Linked DNA regions of Saccharomyces cerevisiae S288C. The gene in region 3 interacts genetically with the main gene of each other region. Each region holds a gene or a part of one and is shown on either strand. Other genes may lie near its edges.

Region 1 (5,378 bases), on a different chromosome or scaffold from region 3:
CCAGGGTTCTCAAACCAGGTCCAGTTTAGCAGGTCATCAACACCATATCTCTTCAACATTAACACAGGAGATGTGACGTCACTTCTGGCTATTTCAGGTTCACTTTGTTTAGGTAATTTCACATAATCAGACTCACAATAAAGCCTGAAACTCTTTCCTTCACTTTCTCTACCAGCACGACCACTTCTCTGCATCGCACTTGCCTGAGAAATGGGTACGGTAAGTAGAGTGGCTAATCCCAGCTGATGTCTCCAAACTTTGACTTTTCGAAGACCAGAATCAACGACAAATTTAACACCGGATATGGTAACAGATGTTTCTGCAATATTGGTACTAAAGACGACTTTTCTCTTGAAACCCTTTATCGGAGCGAAGACCAAGGACTGTTGGACCGCGGGAAGAGCTGCATATAAAGGATAAGGAACTATTAATGGTACTGGGGCCTCATCTGAAACATACTTTGCAATTTTCTCCATTATAGTCACTGCTTTGTCAATCTCTTCTTGGCCCGGTAAAAAACATAAGATATCTCCCAGTTCTTCACCTTGGTTTATTTGTATACAACACCTGATGACAGCGTCTACTATATCATCTGTTGGCGCCTTCAAGTAGTATTGTTTGACATCAAATTTTCTTCCTTCTACAAATAAGATTGGGGCATTATTGAAGAACTCACTAAATTTTTCGGCTTGCAATGTTGCAGACATAACAATTATTCTCAAATCAGGTCTTGGCCCTTGTATCAAGGATTTTAAGAACCCCAATATCAAATCTGTAAGCACAGTTCTTTCATGCGCTTCATCGATAACGATGACGCTGTATTCTCTAAGGTCACTATTCATCATAAGTTCTCTAAGTAACATACCGTCAGTCAGATACTTAAGTCTTGTTCTTGTAGTAGTCGTATTGTCAAATCTGACAGAATAACCTACTTGTTCACCCAGTTTGCAACCATGTTCTTGAGCAACACGTGTAGCCAAATTGATGGCCGCAACACGACGGGGTTGAGTTACAGCAATCGACCCATGCTTCTTCGTATCATATAATTTTTCTAATACGAATTGCGGAATTTGTGTTGATTTACCAGAACCTGTTTCACCAATAAGGACGGTAACGGGATTGCTTTCAATATATGACATTATTTCTCGCTTGTGTTGGTAAACGGGAAGTGTTTCTCTCATTTTGAGTAAATCGCTTGCCCGACTTTTCAAAGATTTATAAGTAAGGACATTTTCCTTGTTCGAACGTTGGTCTGAAACATGGTCGCCCTCGCCTGAATCATTAAACTTTACGATTTTACTAGCTCTTTTAATCCGAGTGTTATTCGTGAATGGATGTATATTCCTCCTAACCTTTTGTTTTTTAGAAGTATGGTTTGATGCAACTCTACTATTGCTATTTGCTGCCATGATAATGTCTGCAGACTCTTGCAACCTCTTCTTGAGGAATTCTTACATATATATCATAACCTCATCTCATCTCATCGAGCAGAATTTTTTATTTTCAATTTTTCTCATTTTTCCAAATCATTGTAAACGAATAGCCGCCGAAGAAAAACGGTAGAAGAAAAGTACATCTTTCAGTCAGCATTATACGTACAAATTATTAGCGTTATCATCATGATTATAATTACAAAGATACTACACAGTTGTATCGTACAATTATCGAACTTAATTATAGTCAGCTTCCAGAAGAGGGACTTTTTGGAGTACTCGAAGTGACTTTTATCGAATGGAGGTTTAATCCCTTCTTGAACGGTCTTGCCACAAAAGACTCCTGTGATCCAGTGGTTGCTATACTGCTAGAAGAAACCTTTCTCGCGCCCCATACTAAAGGTTTTGAGGAAGTATTGGCTGACCAAGGGCTATTTGATATTTCAGAACCCTCCTCGATATGCAACATAGTATTTCCTGATGACGAGCTCATAGACCCTCTTCTAGGAGATGGGATTGCAGATTTATTAAGAGAAAGCTCTTTGACAGAACTTTCCAAAGATTTTATCCTTTCACTGCGTGTTTCAGTAAGTTTAGTGTGAGTTTCTAGTTCACCCTTTAAGATGGCGTTAGTAGTTAAAAGCTCTTGAATCTCTCTTTCCTGAAGCTGAATTTGTTCTAGTAGCCTAACGTTCATAGACTCTAAGGCTTCCTCTTTTGACTTTTTGTATTCTAACTCTTGCTGCAACTTAGAATTGGAATTCATCTGTCGATCAAAAGATAACTCAAGCTGAGCAATCTGTTCGCATCTTTTCGTTAATATTTCAGAAACTTCTTCGTCAATACGATTGTTAGGATCTTCATTGGTAGAACTACTCAATAATTGGGTAATACTGTCTAATTGAAGCTTTAGTTTGATATTTTCTTTCTTTGTATTTTCTAACATTTTTTTCTCGTCGTCTTCGGGAAGAGATTTATTGTGAAGGCTTTTTAAAGAGTCTATTTCAGCCTTTAGTATATTAATTTGGGCAACATAATTATCATCCTTAATTTTCATGTCCTGAATAAATAGATCCATTTTTTTTTTCAGATTTAAACCTGTGGTGTTATCTGTAACCTTGTTATTGATCTGTCTAATACTGTCACCAAATTCTAGTGTTGATAGGGTAGTTGGAACATTACTTAAGAAACATGTCAATATCACCTTTGTTTTCCTATTTCCCCCAAGGGAATCTTTTAACACTTCAGTTAATTGCGATTCACGGTAAGCAGAACTATGTGATCCTTTTGCGCTGTAGGCTGAATCACGCTCTTTCATTGACAAGGACCGCACAGTGTTTTTCAACGCCTCAATAGATTGGTTTAATTTTTTTAACGCATCTTGTGATAGCGTACTTTCAGTTCTTTTATCGAACTTCTCTGCCCCGTGTAAATCAACCAGATATAAAGAACTATTTTTTAATATATCATCTTTTCTATTCCTTTGTTCTACGTGTAATTGAAAAACTAGGTGTGATCTTGATCTCTCTGTCTTGTCGCCACATGCCATCCTATTGCCGACGTTTTGGACTGCCTGAATGTAGCTTCTTAAGTCTTCATACGATCCGACATGTGCCGGACAAATATCTTTGATTTCTAAGTCCATTTTGCTTGAAGAACGGTGAAGCTTTAATGGTTTTCTTTCAGGTAAAGGTACCAATAAGTCATACGTTTTCTCCATATATATTTCGAATGCCAAAACACTTACGCTAAAACTATCTCCCTTTGTTTCTTCATTTTTTTCTAGCGTATCAAACAAGGTCTTGCATATGTTCGGTAGAATTCCTTCGCTTTCTTTTGATCCAATAAGGGAATAGGACTTTCCGCTGAAACTTGGTCCATATGTTATTACAGTACCGTTATAACCATTCAAAACATCATTTATTATTGGATGCACCAGAAATTTCTGAACATCTTCTTGAGTGGCGTTAGCATCGAATACCTTATCGAATTGAAATGTTGAATGGGTCTCCTTGGTTGTCTCATGTAACGGATTGTTTGTGCGAAATAGCACAGTATTTTCATATGGGTCTATTTTGAAGGTCGACTCATTGTTTTGTAATCCTTTTTCGGGTATCGCCCTGAGGATAACTTCGATGTGACAGGGTTCACTGCTGTCTAGAGTTGGTAACGATACAGAAGAGCTACTTTGCTCTTTCGAAATTATATTCCAGTGCATTTTAACAAGTTTGCACCTACCCTGAATGATAATTTTTTCTGGTTTAAAGTCGACCTGTAGTGCTTAATAAACCCCCTACTAGTGCTAAATCCTGTAGATTTCCGTGCCAATTTTTCTATTTTTATTTTTCTTTTTTTGATTTTTTTTTTTTTTTAATTTCCATTTTTTTAACTTCCACCTCTTTCCTTGTTAACCATAAATAAGGAAGGATTGGAACTCAACGACAAAATTGAAAAATGTCTAATCGTTCATCAAAAGCATATTTTATCGGATTATGTTCCATTACTATTCAAACATTCACAATCACAGTGTATTATCTCTATGAATAAAAAAGTTGAAAATTCTAAAAAAAAAACAGAAATATATATTAATCTAAGTTAGTATTATAAATCGATTATAAATTGATTATATACATCACAAATGGTTCATACTCTGTGTCGACAAGAGAAGCATATTGGTGAAGAGAAGTATCTTGCTTGTTAATTTTCCCTTTTTTATCCTTCATGAAGGCATTGCCACCAAGAAATCCAAAAGCATCAATTAATTCAGACTTGCATTTAGAGAGATTCTTTGGTGGGACAGCTATAATCTTGATGTTAAAGTGAGGTGGCAACCCGTAACGCAAAACAGATTCCACGTAAACTCTCAAGGCCTTGATGTGGAACCAATTTATAAAAACATCGACATAAGCTGTCTTGGCCAATCTTACCAACTGGACGCGCAAAGATTGTTCTAAACTGGCAGCAGAGTCATGCTCTTTTTTCAACTGGTCAATTAATTCCTCCGAGTAGTTAAATTCACGAGGAATGAATTTCTTCTCTCTAGCAGCTGTTGTGAATTCTTGAACGTTTTTCTTGAACAAATGAACATTGAACAAAACATACTCAGCATCCTCTGCAATCACGCTGGCAGATGCTGGTACAACGTTCTTGGATAAAGTTTCGTACGATTTTTCGAAATCGGATTTTAAACTTTTGGGAACTGCTACTAGAACAGTAGTTAAATGTTCAGAATTAAGAACGAAGTCTTCGGGCTTGACAATATCATGCAAGGATCTGACAGAAAGGTCACCCGTCTTCTTTCTCTCAGCAGCAGCCAAGTTAGTTTTAGCGCTGTTGTAATTTGCATAAGTAGCTCTGACGTCGGCGTCTAATTGAGAAGATTCATTAGAAATCAATGTTATCAAATCTTTGATAGACTTATCTAACTTGAACTTTCTGGTTTGCCATTGAAAATTTTCCAAGTATTCAGGAACTGGCATATTATTGATAGGTAAAGTCCTGTAAGCATTGGTGCTGGTCTCGTTGAGGCCTTGAAGAATTTCAATGATTTTGCCAATAGAAGCCCCAATTTGGTTATCTACTTTAGACAGTTCTTCCGATTCAACTATCAATGTGTCTAAAGAGCCAATTTTGAATTCGGGAATTTTGAAATCAGAAACAAATGCCCTACCCCCGATTAAGGTCTCATTGAACCATGAATCAGTTTTGGAGCCAGGGGCGGTAACAGGTTGAGCATTTTGAGGCAACGAGATTAATATGAAATCGTTTGCAGTATATAACGCAGTAGCCATTTTTTTTTTTCAGAAAAAAGAATTGATCTAGAATTAGGTAAGAAAACAAACTCTAGCAACTGCAACTTCTATATACCTCCTTTGTTTGTGTTTCTAAAGCACTGTGACAAATCCTGCTTGAAAGCACATGATATCACCAGACGTGTTGCACTAT
Region 2 (7,913 bases), on a different chromosome or scaffold from region 3:
GTTCGCTAAATTGGTACATTCAGAGTACCTAATTAATGGAAAAAGGTTCAAGAGGAAGGACAATGCCAAAATTTCGAACAACCTAGCCCTCGTTTTCGCCGCATTGGAACACTTGAAGAATCTAAGCTTATTAGCTGAAGAAGTTGTAGATAACATTGTTAATAAATACCAGTACTCTCTCAAGCAGTACGCGGGAAATTTAATTACAACGCCCGAAATAAATAACTTTATCGTGGAAAGAGTTCAATCTGATGAGAACAAGGACGATGAGCTTGTGAAATTGTTATTAGACAATGGATTCAATATGAAAAAAATTACAACCTCAACTGAAGATCAAAAGGTTACCACTAACATAAACTGGAGATCTTTCAACGCCAAGATAATCGATGCTGAAGTTGCTCAATTTTTGGAACAAGGTCTATCTATCCACCCAACTCAGATTACTCAATATACACAGAGGCTATCAAAATTGGAGAAAGCTTTAGACCGTCATGAATTTTTCATCGCAAACCACGACGATCAAGATGACATAGACGAGATGGTTGAAAATAGTTCTGAAAACAATCAGATAATTTTAGCCTACATTAAATATAATATTCTTTTGACCTCTATATCTCGTGAAAGAGATTTGTTTACTCATTTATGGAATCAATGGCTGAAATTAAATACTTCATTACCATCGAAGTTAACCAAATATAAAGAAATGGAACGTATTGTGAAGAATTTGACAAAATATTTATCGGACATAATGGAGCTACCTGGTGTGTATTCAGATGACGAGCTGCTAAGCCAATTAGACTTATGCAAGCTGTATTTCCAGTTATTTCTGAATACGGGCTGCCTGAGTGTTTTATATCAGTCGAAAGGCAGATATATGGAGGCGTTAGCTCTATATGTGGACGCTTACCGAAGATTAGAAAACAAATTATCTGAAATTGAATCTCTAGACGAAATCTTACTTCCAGCAAATCTTTTGTCATTGAATTCTGTCCGAAGCTTACAAAAGAGAATCGAAAACGGTGGTAATAGTGTCATTACTTTGGCGGAATACGAAAAAAGAAATCATGGTGGCAGCTTAGGGAAATATGATTTGACAGTGATTGAAAAATTGGATAGTAAAAAAATACTGCCAACGGACATACAATTGAAAAATTTATTCCCTCTCAAGCCAAAAATGCTGCCCATTCCTAGTAAACCAACACTTTTTGATTTGGCCTTCAACTACATAACATATGATAAGCAAGAGCCCTCAGCTTCTCAAGTGAAAGATTCAGTCACAGAAACCGAGAGCATCTCTCAAACACCAATTTCTAATGAGCAGACGGAAGGAGAGCCTAAAAAGAAGCGTGGTTTCTTGGGCCTATTTGGTCGTTAATATTTTTCTAGTATGACTGTATTTATAGTACTATATAGATTATTCCATTTAAACAAATGATGATTGCCAACTATAGTAGCCAAATAACGAAGTGCATTACTTAACACATCTTATTTTTATCTACTGAAGATATCGCCAAATTACAGCACATGCTAAAAAGAAGATGTTTAGGGTCCTTTACATAACTATACGTTAAATTATTTTTGCTGCTGAAAATAAGGAAAATAAAAACAAAGATAAAAATAGAAAGAATGGGAAAATTTAGTAACAGCTTTTGCCCAATATGCTCAAAACCGAGTTATCTATTACAAAGCGTTCCTTTTATAGAAAAAACTGACAATCAAATGTAGTAATTGGCTATTGTTAACAACAACGTTGGAATGGAATAATTTCCACGTCTCGATTTTTGGTTCAACTTGAGTCTTTATCAAGTCTTTAAATGAGAAAGAATCGACATCATCCGAGTATCGTTTATCGGGCCCTTTTCTTTTGTCAATCATTTGAATACCGAATCTAGAACCATCCGATGTGGAAATTTTGAATATTATATCTGGGAATTTAGGACCGCTCGAACCAAAGACTTTTACAGTCAGTTCAGCTAGTTTTTCACCCCTGATGGTTTTAAGCACTCCTCTTTCATACAACTGCTTTGTGTTCCATTTAAACTTCATTCCCTGCAATTCAGAACGTTCTCTTCCTTGAACTTTTTTTACTGCATTCTTAAAATTTCCAAATTTACTTTTGTGCACCGGCGAAAAATCCTTGGCTTTCTGGAAGTCTTTTATCGTATGATCAACATGTTTTTTAAGCCTTGATAATTCTATATCTAAGCTGTGGTTCATTTCCGAAATTTTTGTGAGTGTTTCCTTTGTGATGTAAATTTCCTGGGTTACATAATCAATGGCATAGTTGGGATTTTTAATAGTGTTCGCAATATCGTTTAAGAAATTTTGTAACTTATTATCAGAAGAGCAAAAAGTCCCCGTACTTTCTAGTTCATGTATTTTTTTCAAAGTAACATTTTTGAGTGTGAAGTATTTCAATGGTTTCAGCTTCTGTATCATTGGATCATCCCTGATTTTAGGATTTTGCTCCAGAAAATTTGCAAAATTTGGTTCATCTTGAGGTAGAATTGTACTAATTGAAAGGTCATACAAATTGGTATCTACATCCTCAATTTGCATCATGTACACAAATGCCCTTTTAACTTGGTCGTAGATTTTTCTCATCTTGTCATCACTAACGAGGAATCGATATGCAGATGCATCCAATTCCAAGGTAACACGTCCTGATCTTGGAAAGGATGAATTGTCCAAGTTCTTTTCCAAAATATCATGCAAAATATCTGCTTCCGGAAATTCATTTAAATACTCTTCAAATTTACCACTGATTTCCAGAACCTTTTCAGTTAACAATTCCAATTTGGGGCTTGGCGATACCATATCCAAATAAATCAATCTATCTCCCTCTTGTTCATACTCTGGATCTACTAACACATTATAAAGGACATCTTTGATATGAGGCTTTATTTCGTTAGCGTACTGGTTCAATGGATCCAAAAAGCCATCAAAATTTTTGATTTCAAAAACAGTCGCCAAGGATTTCATTAGAATGTCAATTTTTTGGTTATTTTTTTGAACGTTGCTGTCTTTGTATCCGTAATATTCCCGGTTGACCAAATATTCAGACACAAAAACGTTCACTAGAATACTTGATATGGCCCTTAAAGAGTCAATCTCCTCAATATTCTTATCTGCCGCGTAGCAGAAGATTTTAGTGCAGAGGTACCTGATTTCAACGGGAATAGTGTGAACCTTTCTGGTATAAATTTCAGCGACCATTTCAATCGCGTGCCATAGGCACCTTAAATTGTCAATGAACTTATTCTTGGTACTCGCATCATCCACAGGCGAACAATGCTGAGGAGAGCTAAAGCCGTGTATTTCTTGATAAATTTTGTATGGATCACTTTCAAAATCCACTACTGGATCTGACAAGTAATCCAAAACTGGGACTATTATAGAGAAGAATTCTGGAGACTCTCTTCTCAAAAAATCTTGAAGAATGGTTTGCCAAAATTGTGATCGGTTGTCAAGAAAGCTTTCAATACTCGGTGCTTCATTAATCGCATTTTGTAACATTTCACAAACAAACCTTGTGAAATAGGATCTCTCTCTGTCGTTCATCCTTTGATTCACTGTTCCAAATGTCATATAAACATTCTTTGCAACAAATTCTGGCTCTTTCAAATACAGCAATTTCCAATAAGAGGGATCAACTTGCAACATATAGAACAGTTTTTCATACTTTTGATATTTAGACTTCGGAATCGTAGAATCGGAAATACCGAGTTCATGATCTTTATCTTTTAATAGTCCAAACTTATCCAATACTCCGTTAATATTTAGTTGTTGTCTTATGCTCTTCAGTAATCGTTCCTTCTTCATATTTTCGGAATCAAGAGAGGCTTGGCAACTCTCCAACTGGTTTTGGACCTCTTCAATGGTTGCTGTTCCATTGAGCAAATGAACGAATTTTTTGACAGCCCAAAGACTTGGATTTGGACAGTCTAGAAGTTCCAAATATGCCGATCTTTGCAGACTTTTCCTAATCCAGCTTTGAATCATAATAACCGACCTTACGTTTCTCTTGTAAAAACTCGACTTTTGGTCCAAGCTTTCACGTACTAAAGCGCCTCTAGAAAATGCTTGAAATAATGCTAAATTATTATACTCCACAATGTCATCGACTAAGTCTAATGTGTAGCGGACTAGAATACCTCTAACCAAACCCTGGAGGTCGTGCACAGTTTCACTGAGATTATTTTCGGGCGCAAACAGTGACTGTACCTTATGTCTTACAGCGTTTCCGCGTATACAGGCTGATAATTGAATAATATTACAGTTTTCTTTTCCAAGTGAATATATTATTGATGCTAGGCACGAACGCGTAAATATTCCTCTAATCAAGCTTTGCAATTTTGAGATATTTTCCTTATGTACATCATGTACAGCACTTAATATCGCGTCCTCTGAACACCTCACAACGTTACCTCTGATGATTGCCGAAAACTTCATAATACTTTCTCGCTCATCGTTCAACTTTGTATTGAGGGACATCACCTTCTTTCTCACATAAGAAGCACGCATATAAGACTGCAATTTTGTCAGAGGATAATGTGATATCTCAATATCATTTAATTTTGTGTTAACGGTTGTCTTCAACAATTTTGAACGACAATATGCTTGCAAAAGTTCGACAGTACACGAAAACCTTGAGAGTGTAAATTTCAATTTATCGTATTTATATCGAATTCTGCTTCCCTTAATTCGCGATTGAATCGCCTCGACATGAGGAACGTCAATCTTTGCTCTTCTTATTGGCAAATACATTGATGACAATACTCTAAATTTATTTCCTCTTAGGCATGCTTGAAACCTTAGTATGTCCTGTTCAAAAAGGTTCAGTAACCTTTTTTGAATGTATAGGTTAAAACGGGTATTAACTCCTCGACAAATATTTTGCAGTTGAACTACCTTCTCTAAAAATTGTTCCTCTGTCATCCTTTCTCTTCTCATGGGAGAATAATGAGAAGGTGAGTATTTGAACGTCTGGTAATAATTCAAATCTTCCTCTCTTGCACGACTCCTTCTCGTATAAAATTCTGTATCATATGTCAAGTATTTCGAGATGGTAGGAGAATAGTACGACAGACTTTTGTTTTTTATTGGGCTATATTCTAAAGATGGTGTAGGGCCCAGAAGACTCGGCTCAATGGGTGTGAATTTCCTCTTCTCAACAACGACATCCAAATTTGACATTTTTGGAGCTTCATTATAAGGTGAAGGTGTATTAGAAAAATCGGAGCAATTAGCATCTGTTATATTCTTTCTTGGGGTAATTAAAATTTCTTCCACCGGTATATTCGGCCTTTCAAATTTATTAAAGTCTTTTATCAATCCGCTTCTTTTTTCTTTTGGTTCCTCAGGGGAAGCTGGTGCAGTATTGATATTAGTTCCTAAGGACTTGAAGTCTCTAATTCTAGGCCATGCTTTTTTACAAGCTGCGATTTCTTCTTTGGTAAAACTTATTTGGCCCGATACATTTGTTAAAGCGGGCGTTTTGCCTGGCCATTTCTTATTAATCATTGATATAAGAATATGCAGGGTTTCGAAAACCTGAGGGATATTCTTCTTGTTATAGAGATCTTGCAATTCAAATCTAAAAGAGTCCGGAACACCGACATGTTCTACCAAACCAAAAAAGGCATTAATGTTCTGAGTGTGTTTAAATTGTAGTTTATCACCTGCAGGAAATATAACCGTTGTCAAATCTGGATTTATCCTCTGGGTTAGCTTGGCCAAAAAAACACCATTCCTAAGTGAGTCTCCAACACATAACTCTATTTCTGATGGTAGTGCTTCCTCAATAACAGCTTCAATCCATATTTTGACTTCTGATACTCTGCATAAAAACTCATAGTACCTCAGTTCTATTTTCGAATAATTACTTAAGTCTACGGTATATTTTCCTACGAGTTTGTTAGGAAGGGATGGCTTCAGCTTTGATACGGAACTTTCTACTTTTTTTGACAAAATTGTCGCAGAACTGTTGCTAGCTGACGTCTTAGTCTTTAAATGACTTGGCGACGCTATGTTTAACGAAGAGTTGATTTTGGAACTTGACTGCGGTCTCAGAGGTGGAGTCACATTGGTGCCTAGGTTTTCAACATAACGATTTAGATAAGAATTATTATTGCCTGGTTTCGAAGGAGAGCCTGAATATGCTGTCATTGTTTTTGCACCACCTTGTTACATATAATTGAACTGGTGCAATAAGTTTTTCAAAAAAATAATCTATGTTTTGGCCAACTACTTTCTTATTTTCAATAAAAAGCTGTTGTTTTCTGATGTCAATAACAGGGTTTCTTAATTTCAAGATGGAAGAATTTGTAATGTTTACACTTTCCTCTTTTAGGATATGCTATTAATGGCATGCTTAAATCACTATATACGAAATAAACAATTTTAGCGATGCGTAGCTCAATATAAAGCGCTATAAGTAAGCGCGAAACAACTGCATTGTATCCTTGTTACAAATATCAAAATCTTCAAATGCAAAGGCAGAATTGTCCTCAGTTTCTTCGCTTTGGAAGGGGTTAGAGAAATCTTGTATAATTAGGTGGTCCCGAGTGCTTGCGTTGAAAATGCATTTGTGACAATTTTCTATGATTACCACTTGTTTGCAATCGATACTTGGCGAGAGTTTCTCTATCAAAATTTTGCAATTTTTCAAGTCACGTAAACGGATTTGGAAATCCTTGTCGGAAGGAGACCGTAGAAAAATTATAGAATCCGTACAATCAGTTATGAAAATACTCCCTGTTTGAAAGAAAATCCTTTGTAAGTTTATGACACATTTAGTAATATTGCGAAAGCACAAAGAACCAGAAAGGGCACTATTGCCACTATAATCTGTTGTTGATGTAACAGTACAAAACTCTAAATTTTCAAAAGCTGAATCACCCTTCTCCAAGACATAATGCTTTTTCAAAGTAGTGGTATACGCCGGCGCATTCGCAAGCTCCGTACGTTCAACATTCTTATGAACGGCTGATGATGAATTTTTCTGTTTGAAGGAGAATAGTCGTTTTTTGCCCTTTGACTCAGATAATTTTGCATTAATAGATTTTAATACATTTTCTATATCATTGGAGAAGTGTTCTTTTTCATAAGATGTCAAAGAATGTGACAGAGTATTCAGCTCACTTCGAAGACTTATGGTCTTCTTCTGCAAGGTCTTATAGTCACTCGTCTCTGAGAGTTCTCGTTCGAGCTCTACACAAAAAAATAGTATACGAAAATATGCAATGTTAATTAGTTGGACGCATAATGAAAGCAGATGAGTTTCAACATACCCTTTATCTTCGCAGTAAAGTCCATTTATGCTTAAGCTATTTCAGTTATATTCTTAAGTATATTTCACGATTTCAGATTCTTCGCGTTTTGTATGACACACTAGACGCGTCGGAATAGTGAAAACTCTAAAAAAATACATTGTAATGTTTTACCCAGTTATTTCCATGCAGATGCCCTATTTACATACTTATTTATTCATTCGAATACCTATACGTTATATTATGTTTTGTTTATAACCTATTCAAGGCCATGATGTTCTACCTAATCTACCTCTTCCATTTCGGTGTCAGCTGGAACCTCTTCAACCGGAGCTGCGGTGGATGCTTCTGGAGCAGTCTCTGTTTCTTCATCCTCATCAATGTTCAAACCCAAAGAGATCAATCTGTTAATTCTTGATGCAAAGGAAGTTGGTTCGTCCAAACTGAAGCCGGAAGTCAACAAAGCAGTTTCATATAATAACTTAGTCAAGTCCTTGACAGTCTTGTCTTGAGCACCACCTTCGTCAACTCTCTTTTTCAATTCCTTGATAATTGGAGATTTTGGAGAAATTTCGAAAGTCTTCTTGGAAGACATGTAGGAGGACATGGAAGAGTCTCTCAAGGCTTGAGCCTTCATGATTC
Region 3 (7,138 bases):
AAAGAACCAAGTTGGTGGATGGTTTTGTCACATTATGTCCCATAAAAAAGGATTCGTCGAATAACACATTCGTAGCTGCTACCAAATCGGGATTATTACATATTATAAAAAAAGGAGAAGATAAAAAGTTAATAAAACTAGCATCCCTTGGACTGAAAGCACCAGTAGAATTTCTTCAGTTATATGATCTAGAAGATACCGATACTGATAAATATATATTTGCATACGGAGGGGAGGAGAATTTAATAAAATTAGTGGAAATAGATTCGAGTTTCCAATCTTTAAAGCAAATTTGGGAAGCCAAGAATGTTAAAAACGACAGGTTGGATATGAGAGTCCCAGTATGGCCCATGGCCCTAAGATTTTTGGAGCCCTCCCCTGGTAAAACTGAAAAGGGTAAGCTGAACTACCAGTTTGCAGCCATAACCCGTTGGTCCCACCTCACCAAATACAGCACACAACATGGCAGAAAACCGTTCGCTCAGATAGATTTATTACCTAACCGTGAACCATTATCTCAGATGGAAGTTTTTGATGCCAAGGGAGAAAATGTTGTCTCTTCGTTGGGGAATTTTCAATCTGAAACCTTTAATGAACTGAATGTGATTACTACTGACTACAAAAAGAATGTTTTTAAATTCGATGGTAATGGAAGAATGTTGGGCAAGGTGGGTAGAGATGATATCACTGGTTCGTCAACCTATATTCATGTACATGACGGCAAATATCTTTTACAAGGTGGTTTAGATAGGTATGTTCGGATCTTCGATATAAAAACTAACAAAATGCTGGTGAAGGTTTATGTTGGGTCCCGTATAAATTTTATTGTTATGCTGGATGACGTTGAAATCGAGATGCCACTAAGTCCAAGTGCGAAAGCTGCCAAAGGGAAGCAAAAAAGGAAGGTTACAGAACTTGAAGAAGACGCAGATGAGCTTTGGAATAAATTGGAGGGAAAGGTAGCTGCTTCTAAAGCCAGTAAGAAAAGCAAAATTTAATAGTAAAGGACGCTAATTGAAGGCAAAGTTTTACTAGTCGGCGGGAAAAATTATTAAAAAAAGCACTTCCTGAACGCGACGCTGAATAACTTATAATACGTTACATAATTGTATACCGTCTAGTAAACTTACATACGCTTGTCTATCTTGTATGCTGATGCATTTTATCAAATAGCGTTATTTCCCGCACGAGCCAATTTTTTATCGTGCCCCTTCTTACGGTTATGGTTAGCTCTAGCCCCTTTCCTTTTTTCATTCTTAGCATGCTGTCTTTTCTTCTGTTCAGTAGATTGAGGTTCATGTTTCTTAATATTTTCAGATTTTTTTTGTTTGGCTTGTTCTTTGACGACATTTCCATCATTTTGGCTATCACGATTATGAACATAAGACGTTTTCCCTGTTTTGCTATTTCCTTTGAACATAAACTTCTTTTCTAAAAGTCTTGCTCGGGTAGGAGATCTTTCTAACATCCGACACCAACCTTCGATTTTTTCATCCGACCATGAAGTCATTTCTTTCATAGTTTTCCTGACTTTTGTACCTCTTTTTGATCTCTCAAATAATTTCGGATCCTCTTTCAATAGATTCCACAAGTAAGCTTCAACAATATGATAGTTATGATCTTGTCGCACTTCATTAGAATCATCTTTTGTATCATAGCTTTCTTCGTCTTCTTGAAGTCCAATTCTTTTCGAAGGATCGGACCGGTTCACATCGGCTTCATCATAAGTGTCATCCCTTTCATCTTCATCAGCCTCGTATAAAAGTTTCAATGCTCTTGTCAAAGTTTTATTTCTTAATTCATCCGGAACACCCTCCGAGATAATCTTTTTGTCTAGCTCTTTATTTTTTGAGCTATCTCCTCTATCCAATATACTCAGTTCTTCAGTAAAGGATGCATTATCACCATCTGACACCGGCTCTACTTCTTCCTCCGCAGGTTCTCTGGAGAATGCTTCGATAATGGTAGGATCCTCAAATATTTTATTCGTTACTAATTCAATGTTATTATCATAGGCAAGCAACGTTTGAGATAATTGATATTTAGAAAACTGGGGGAACAATTCCATCAACGCGGACAGTTGTTCTTCATTAACTTCAGTACCTGATGATGTTGGATAGCTCATATGGTCTCCTTCGTCCATTGACAACCCCCCTAAATTCAGAAATAGTAACTTGCTCTTCAAATCAGGAAGCCTTTTGTGGACTCCTTCATTTATGAGCATTGTTCCTAAAAGAGGATATAACGCCAAAGTTTCAAAATTGCTTATGCCTAATTCTTTAGTTATTTTTAGTAAACGATCAGCAGAAACAGAAAATAAACTGATAATGATCAATTCTCTAGCCTCTTTATGACCCCGGCCCTGTCCCTTTGCCCATAATGCCTCTAAAATTTCAATCCAATTTGCCGTAAAGAAGTTCTCCGCAAACTTATTTGGCTGCATGGATTTGGCAGACAGCAGATCTTCAACGCACCTTAAATCTATTCTTTTAAATTTTCCAGATTCTATTAACTGCTTCAAATGCTGTTGAACTTGGTACGATTTGTCCAATTGTACACGTTGCGTGTTGATCCGTGGTTTCAATGAGCCATCGATCAAACCACGAATAGAATCTGGATTACGTCTAACATATACTTTGATCAAATTCCACAGGGAGTCACCAAAAATCTGAAGATGTAATAACCCGCATTTCTTGATCAATGAAAATATCCAGCCTTTTAGTAAATATAACTGTTCAGACACATCATGGTTGATACCGAGACTTAATAACTTTCCTTCCTCATCAGCAATTTCATGCAAGTAAGTTCTCAAAAATAAACGAAGATGATCAAGTGTAGATTCATCTAATAATTCAACGTTAGCACCTTGCATCAAATACTCAAAATACGTTACATAGGTTTCTATTAGATGCAGCCATACTACGGGGTCCTTTTCAATTAATTGAGCTCTGAGTTTAAACGGTGGAAATTTGACAATGGGCAGAGAAATATCTGCATTACCCCCATTTATTTCAATAACGCGGTTGTACCTTGATAACATTATTCTTAGTGATTCTATCCTATAAAAATTTCCAAGATTCAATAGTTAACTCGAATGTCTCTCATTTATGAGAACTAGTGTTTTATATTTTCATTTTTTCTATGGCCGCGCAAAATCCATTGGCAGATATTCAGGTATATAAACGTTACAAAGCCAAGAGGAGAATGGAAGGCCAACAAAAAAATTCTTGTACAATTGCATATATTGATTCATTACAATATTACTGCCGTCGTTCTCTCAGTCATAAATCATGTTTTCCCTTTCCCTCTCAGCATGCTTTTTCTCGGCCTCTTCCATTAAGCGAGTCTTATGAGACTTGGCACGCTCTTGAGCTAGCTTTTTGCCTAACTCGCCCTTATTGTACTTTTCATTCGTCTCTTGAAATCTCTTCTCAGCAGCTAACCTTGCGGCCTCCTTTGGGCTAACTTTATTTTTGCTCGGATCACTTGTATCAGTTAATTTGCTGCCTTCTTTCCTTTGCACAACCGGGACAGTTGTACTCTTTAGTTGTGTCTTCTTCTTTTTATCTTTCTTCTCTTTATGTCGAAGTTCTTGCTTTGACTTGACTGTATCACGATTAATTGGTTTTGTTCTTGCTTTAGTTGCCACCGTCGTAGTTTGTGAAGGCATTGGTTGGGTTTTACTTCCGCAAAGCCCCATACTATGTACTTAAATATTTGTTGTTGTTTGCTGGTGCAAATTTCCTGGATGATGTTAATGATAATTATAGACCGCTTTTATATAGTCTTATGCCTATCCTTTTCATTTTTATTTTTCTAGAGGGAAAAAATCGCTGATTACATGAGGGAAAAAAATATACACATTTCTTGATCATAGAAGATTCGATCTTATATATTATACGTTTAAATGTTTATTTACAAGCATGCATAAATTGAGATGGGGAGAATGAATGCGCTAGTACTATTGCTCCTTAGCAATAAAGCTATGTAGTTGAGGAACAGGAATGTCCTCGGCACTCAAGTCAGAATAACCGCTCAGATACTCATTTAATATTGGGTATGACTCTGCGCATCCAGTGGTATACCTATATACTTGCTTGGTAGCGCGAAAGTAGGGCGTATATCTTTTTAATATTTTCAAGTACAGCTCTATTCTGTCTTCTGAATTCGAAGTAGAATCCTCATTTTTCAAATTTTCCAATGGCTTCGGAACTTTTATGTCGTCTTCTGTGGTCGTAGTCGTTGCTGGTGTTCCTTTAGCTTTTGCAGAAAAGACCTTTTCATCCCTCTTTGATTGTGACCATACGACAGTGGCATCCCTCAAAGCGGACAGATCAGCATTGGCTATATATTGTTGGCCCAATTCATTCAGTTTCTTGACCAACTCCAGCCATCTATCCAGAATCTCTTCATTATTCGTGTTGTCTATGCTTCCCAATGATTTCAGTAGTATTCTATATGATATAATAGTTCTTGGAATATGGTACAAAGTATAGTTTTTATCGATAAAATCGATTATGCTGCGTTCGTGCCAGATAGATGCTCTAGTTAACATAACGTTAAAAAATGGTTCATCAATTTTTTTGACCCCACTGTAAAACGTTATGATTTCTTGAAGCTTACGGAAACCATTGATATTGTCATTAATATAGTTTTCGAAGAATATTGTGAAAAAAGTGTTGTTTAGTGAGGACAAAATTCCAGGATTAACAGTGTTACCATAAAATTTTACAGCCTTTTCCCATATTCTATAAACATGATCAAAATCGTTCTGTGCTTTCCATATATTCTGCAAAAAAGAGTTCACTGTAGAGACTTGTAAAATAATCTTGTATGGCATTTCATCGTTGATAATTTTGTCAAAGAAACTTTCTGCCAACGTTAAATTCTTGGAATCACCAATGAAGCTTAAGTGCGTTTCAATTAAATAACCGTAATTCCTCACTTCAGCCTTTTCACATAATTGGCCGAAGAGGGATAATGCCTTTTCGTAGTCTTCCGCCTTGATGAAGACTTTTATCAGTCCGCTGTAAAGATTGGGATGGATAAATTCTTTGGATTGAATAATTTGGTTATATAGCTCGTTAGGCTCAGTCAGAGAACGCGTTTTTGCATAAAGTAATGGCAGCATAAAACCAACCACTTTTGGTTCTTGGAATGCCTGTGAAGTAGTCTCGTCGGACAAATTCTTTGACGCTTCCCAAATTCGAATACAGTCATCGTCAAATGACAGCTCTTTAAATGAAGTCAATAGATGAGTAGCTCCATATCCGCTGACAGACACCTTGCCTATCAAAATGTCATCAGATATATCCTTTAATGAATTACATAGAAAGTTCATCATTTCCTTGTGAAAAGATTGCGAATCGTAGTCTGGCTTTCTACTTAATTTTACCAATTGGTCTCTCGTCGACCTCAGACCGTTATGCAGCAGATGAATCAAACGTGACACCCGGTACGCATTGAAATCAGGCGATTCTCTCAAAGAATAGTATAACTCCATTGCTCTGCCCATGGAGTCCCAAAACATGGCGAATGATGGATTTTTATTCAATTGGTTGTTTCCTATTCTTTTGTATGTATTTTGCAAAGGCGTGGTAGAGTACTTTAAAGCAGATGATACACACTCATCAAACGAAAGAAGCTCGTGGCGCCATGGAGAAGCTGGATCCACATTAAACACATTCTGTTCTGTTTTGCGCTGTTCTCGCCCATTCTTCTTGTCCAAAACGCCCTTAGGTACATTTTTATGAAATATCGGACTGGAGTGGTAAGTACGGTCGCTAAGAACTACGTTGGCAAGCTTACCTCTCAGCATTGCTATCGAACCGGAGTTAACAACGTTGCTTACGCTTATTTCCATAGTTTTTAACGATCTCACCGCATTTCTTCTAAGCATCATTGTCCCTTTTGCAGTATATGGACTCTCCGAATAGTGTAAGAAAATGACACTGAAACCTCACCTTCTTTTACTTATTGCTTAGACCCTCATTACAATGCCATACTGAATACATTTTTTCGAATCTTGTTCAGTCAGGAACCTCAACCATATATCATTACACACGAGTAGTAACAAAAGCATTTTGAAGTAAGATTTGAAACAAAATAATACTCAGAGTAGATCGACGTATAAGAGTTCCTTCCCCAGCGTATTCCGCCACCACCCATCGCACATACATAGAATAACAATGTCAGCCACCAGAGCCAATAAAGATATTTTCACACTATTCGACAAGAAGGGTCAAGGCGCCATTGCCAAGGATTCCTTGGGAGATTACCTGAGGGCAATTGGCTACAACCCCACCAACCAGCTCGTACAGGACATCATAAACGCGGATTCGAGCTTGAGAGACGCCTCTAGCTTGACGCTGGACCAGATTACAGGCCTAATTGAAGTCAACGAAAAGGAATTGGATGCAACTACCAAGGCAAAGACAGAAGACTTCGTCAAGGCATTCCAGGTCTTCGACAAGGAAAGTACAGGCAAGGTATCCGTTGGTGACTTAAGGTACATGCTAACTGGCTTGGGTGAAAAGTTAACCGACGCTGAAGTAGACGAGCTGTTGAAGGGTGTTGAAGTGGACAGCAACGGAGAAATTGACTACAAGAAGTTCATCGAAGATGTTTTGAGACAATGAGAGTGCGGAACTGCAAATTTAGACATTTATTACTATATAACAGAGTCCTATCGACATAAAAACGAAAAAAGCGCCATTATGCAATGAAAACTTGCCAGCGGTTTTTCATTTTTCATACTGGTAATTCAGAGAGCCAAGTCTTTCTTTATAATGCATAGCAATAAATAGTCATATATATATATATATATATATATATATGTACATATATATGAACATATATATGAACAAATAAATGATAATGGTATGTGATAGTCATTATTAACGATTAAGCGTTTTTCTTCAGTTTCTGAGGGATTCTAACCGCTTGGCGATTTTGCAAGAGATAAGAAAATTTTTCAGTCATATGGATAACCTAACACAGCGTGCGACGTATTTTACTTCAGGGCCCAATTGAATAAGAAAGTATAATATAGAGTTTCAAGAGTCAATGTCCGATCTCGTTACCAAGTTCGAATCGCTTATTATTTCAAAGTATCCAGTTTCTTTCACTAAAGAACAAT

Evidence for each region. Genes that interact genetically often act in the same process or in processes that back each other up.
Region 1: of MLC1 (region 3) and SMY1, extra expression of one rescues a mutant of the other (dosage rescue), as found in Saccharomyces cerevisiae (one study listed by BioGRID).
Region 2: of MLC1 (region 3) and IQG1, extra expression of one rescues a mutant of the other (dosage rescue), as found in Saccharomyces cerevisiae (2 studies listed by BioGRID).

The regions. Positions count from the first base shown.
Region 1 is NC_001143.9:284,876-290,253, reverse strand, and holds SMY1 (Smy1p), read right to left. Parts: upstream 3,652-5,378; coding exon 1,681-3,651; downstream 1-1,680. Other genes in the region: DHR2 (RNA helicase), read right to left, coding at 1-1,409; VMA5 (H(+)-transporting V1 sector ATPase subunit C), read right to left, coding at 4,046-5,224. UniProt on the Saccharomyces cerevisiae protein: Possible microtubule-based motor that can interact or substitute with myosin 2 (MYO2).
Region 2 is NC_001148.4:88,942-96,854, forward strand, and holds IQG1 (Iqg1p), read right to left. Parts: upstream 6,169-7,913; coding exon 1,681-6,168; downstream 1-1,680. Other genes in the region: signal recognition particle subunit SRP68, read left to right, coding at 1-1,375; GTPase-activating protein CIN2, read right to left, coding at 6,431-7,212, 7,293-7,317; Hsp90 family chaperone HSP82, read right to left, coding at 7,555-7,913. UniProt on the Saccharomyces cerevisiae protein: Required for the assembly and the contraction of the actomyosin ring at the bud neck during cytokinesis.
Region 3 is NC_001139.9:300,372-307,509, forward strand, and holds MLC1 (Mlc1p), read left to right. Parts: upstream 1-6,188; coding exon 6,189-6,638; downstream 6,639-7,138. Other genes in the region: ribosome biosynthesis protein NSA1, read left to right, coding at 1-998; CUE3 (Cue3p), read right to left, coding at 1,166-3,040; YGL108C (uncharacterized protein), read right to left, coding at 3,278-3,700; RMD9 (Rmd9p), read right to left, coding at 3,962-5,902; ARC1 (Arc1p), read left to right, coding at 7,066-7,138. UniProt on the Saccharomyces cerevisiae protein: Essential light chain for the class II conventional myosin MYO1. Also acts as light chain for the class V unconventional myosin MYO2 and for IQG1.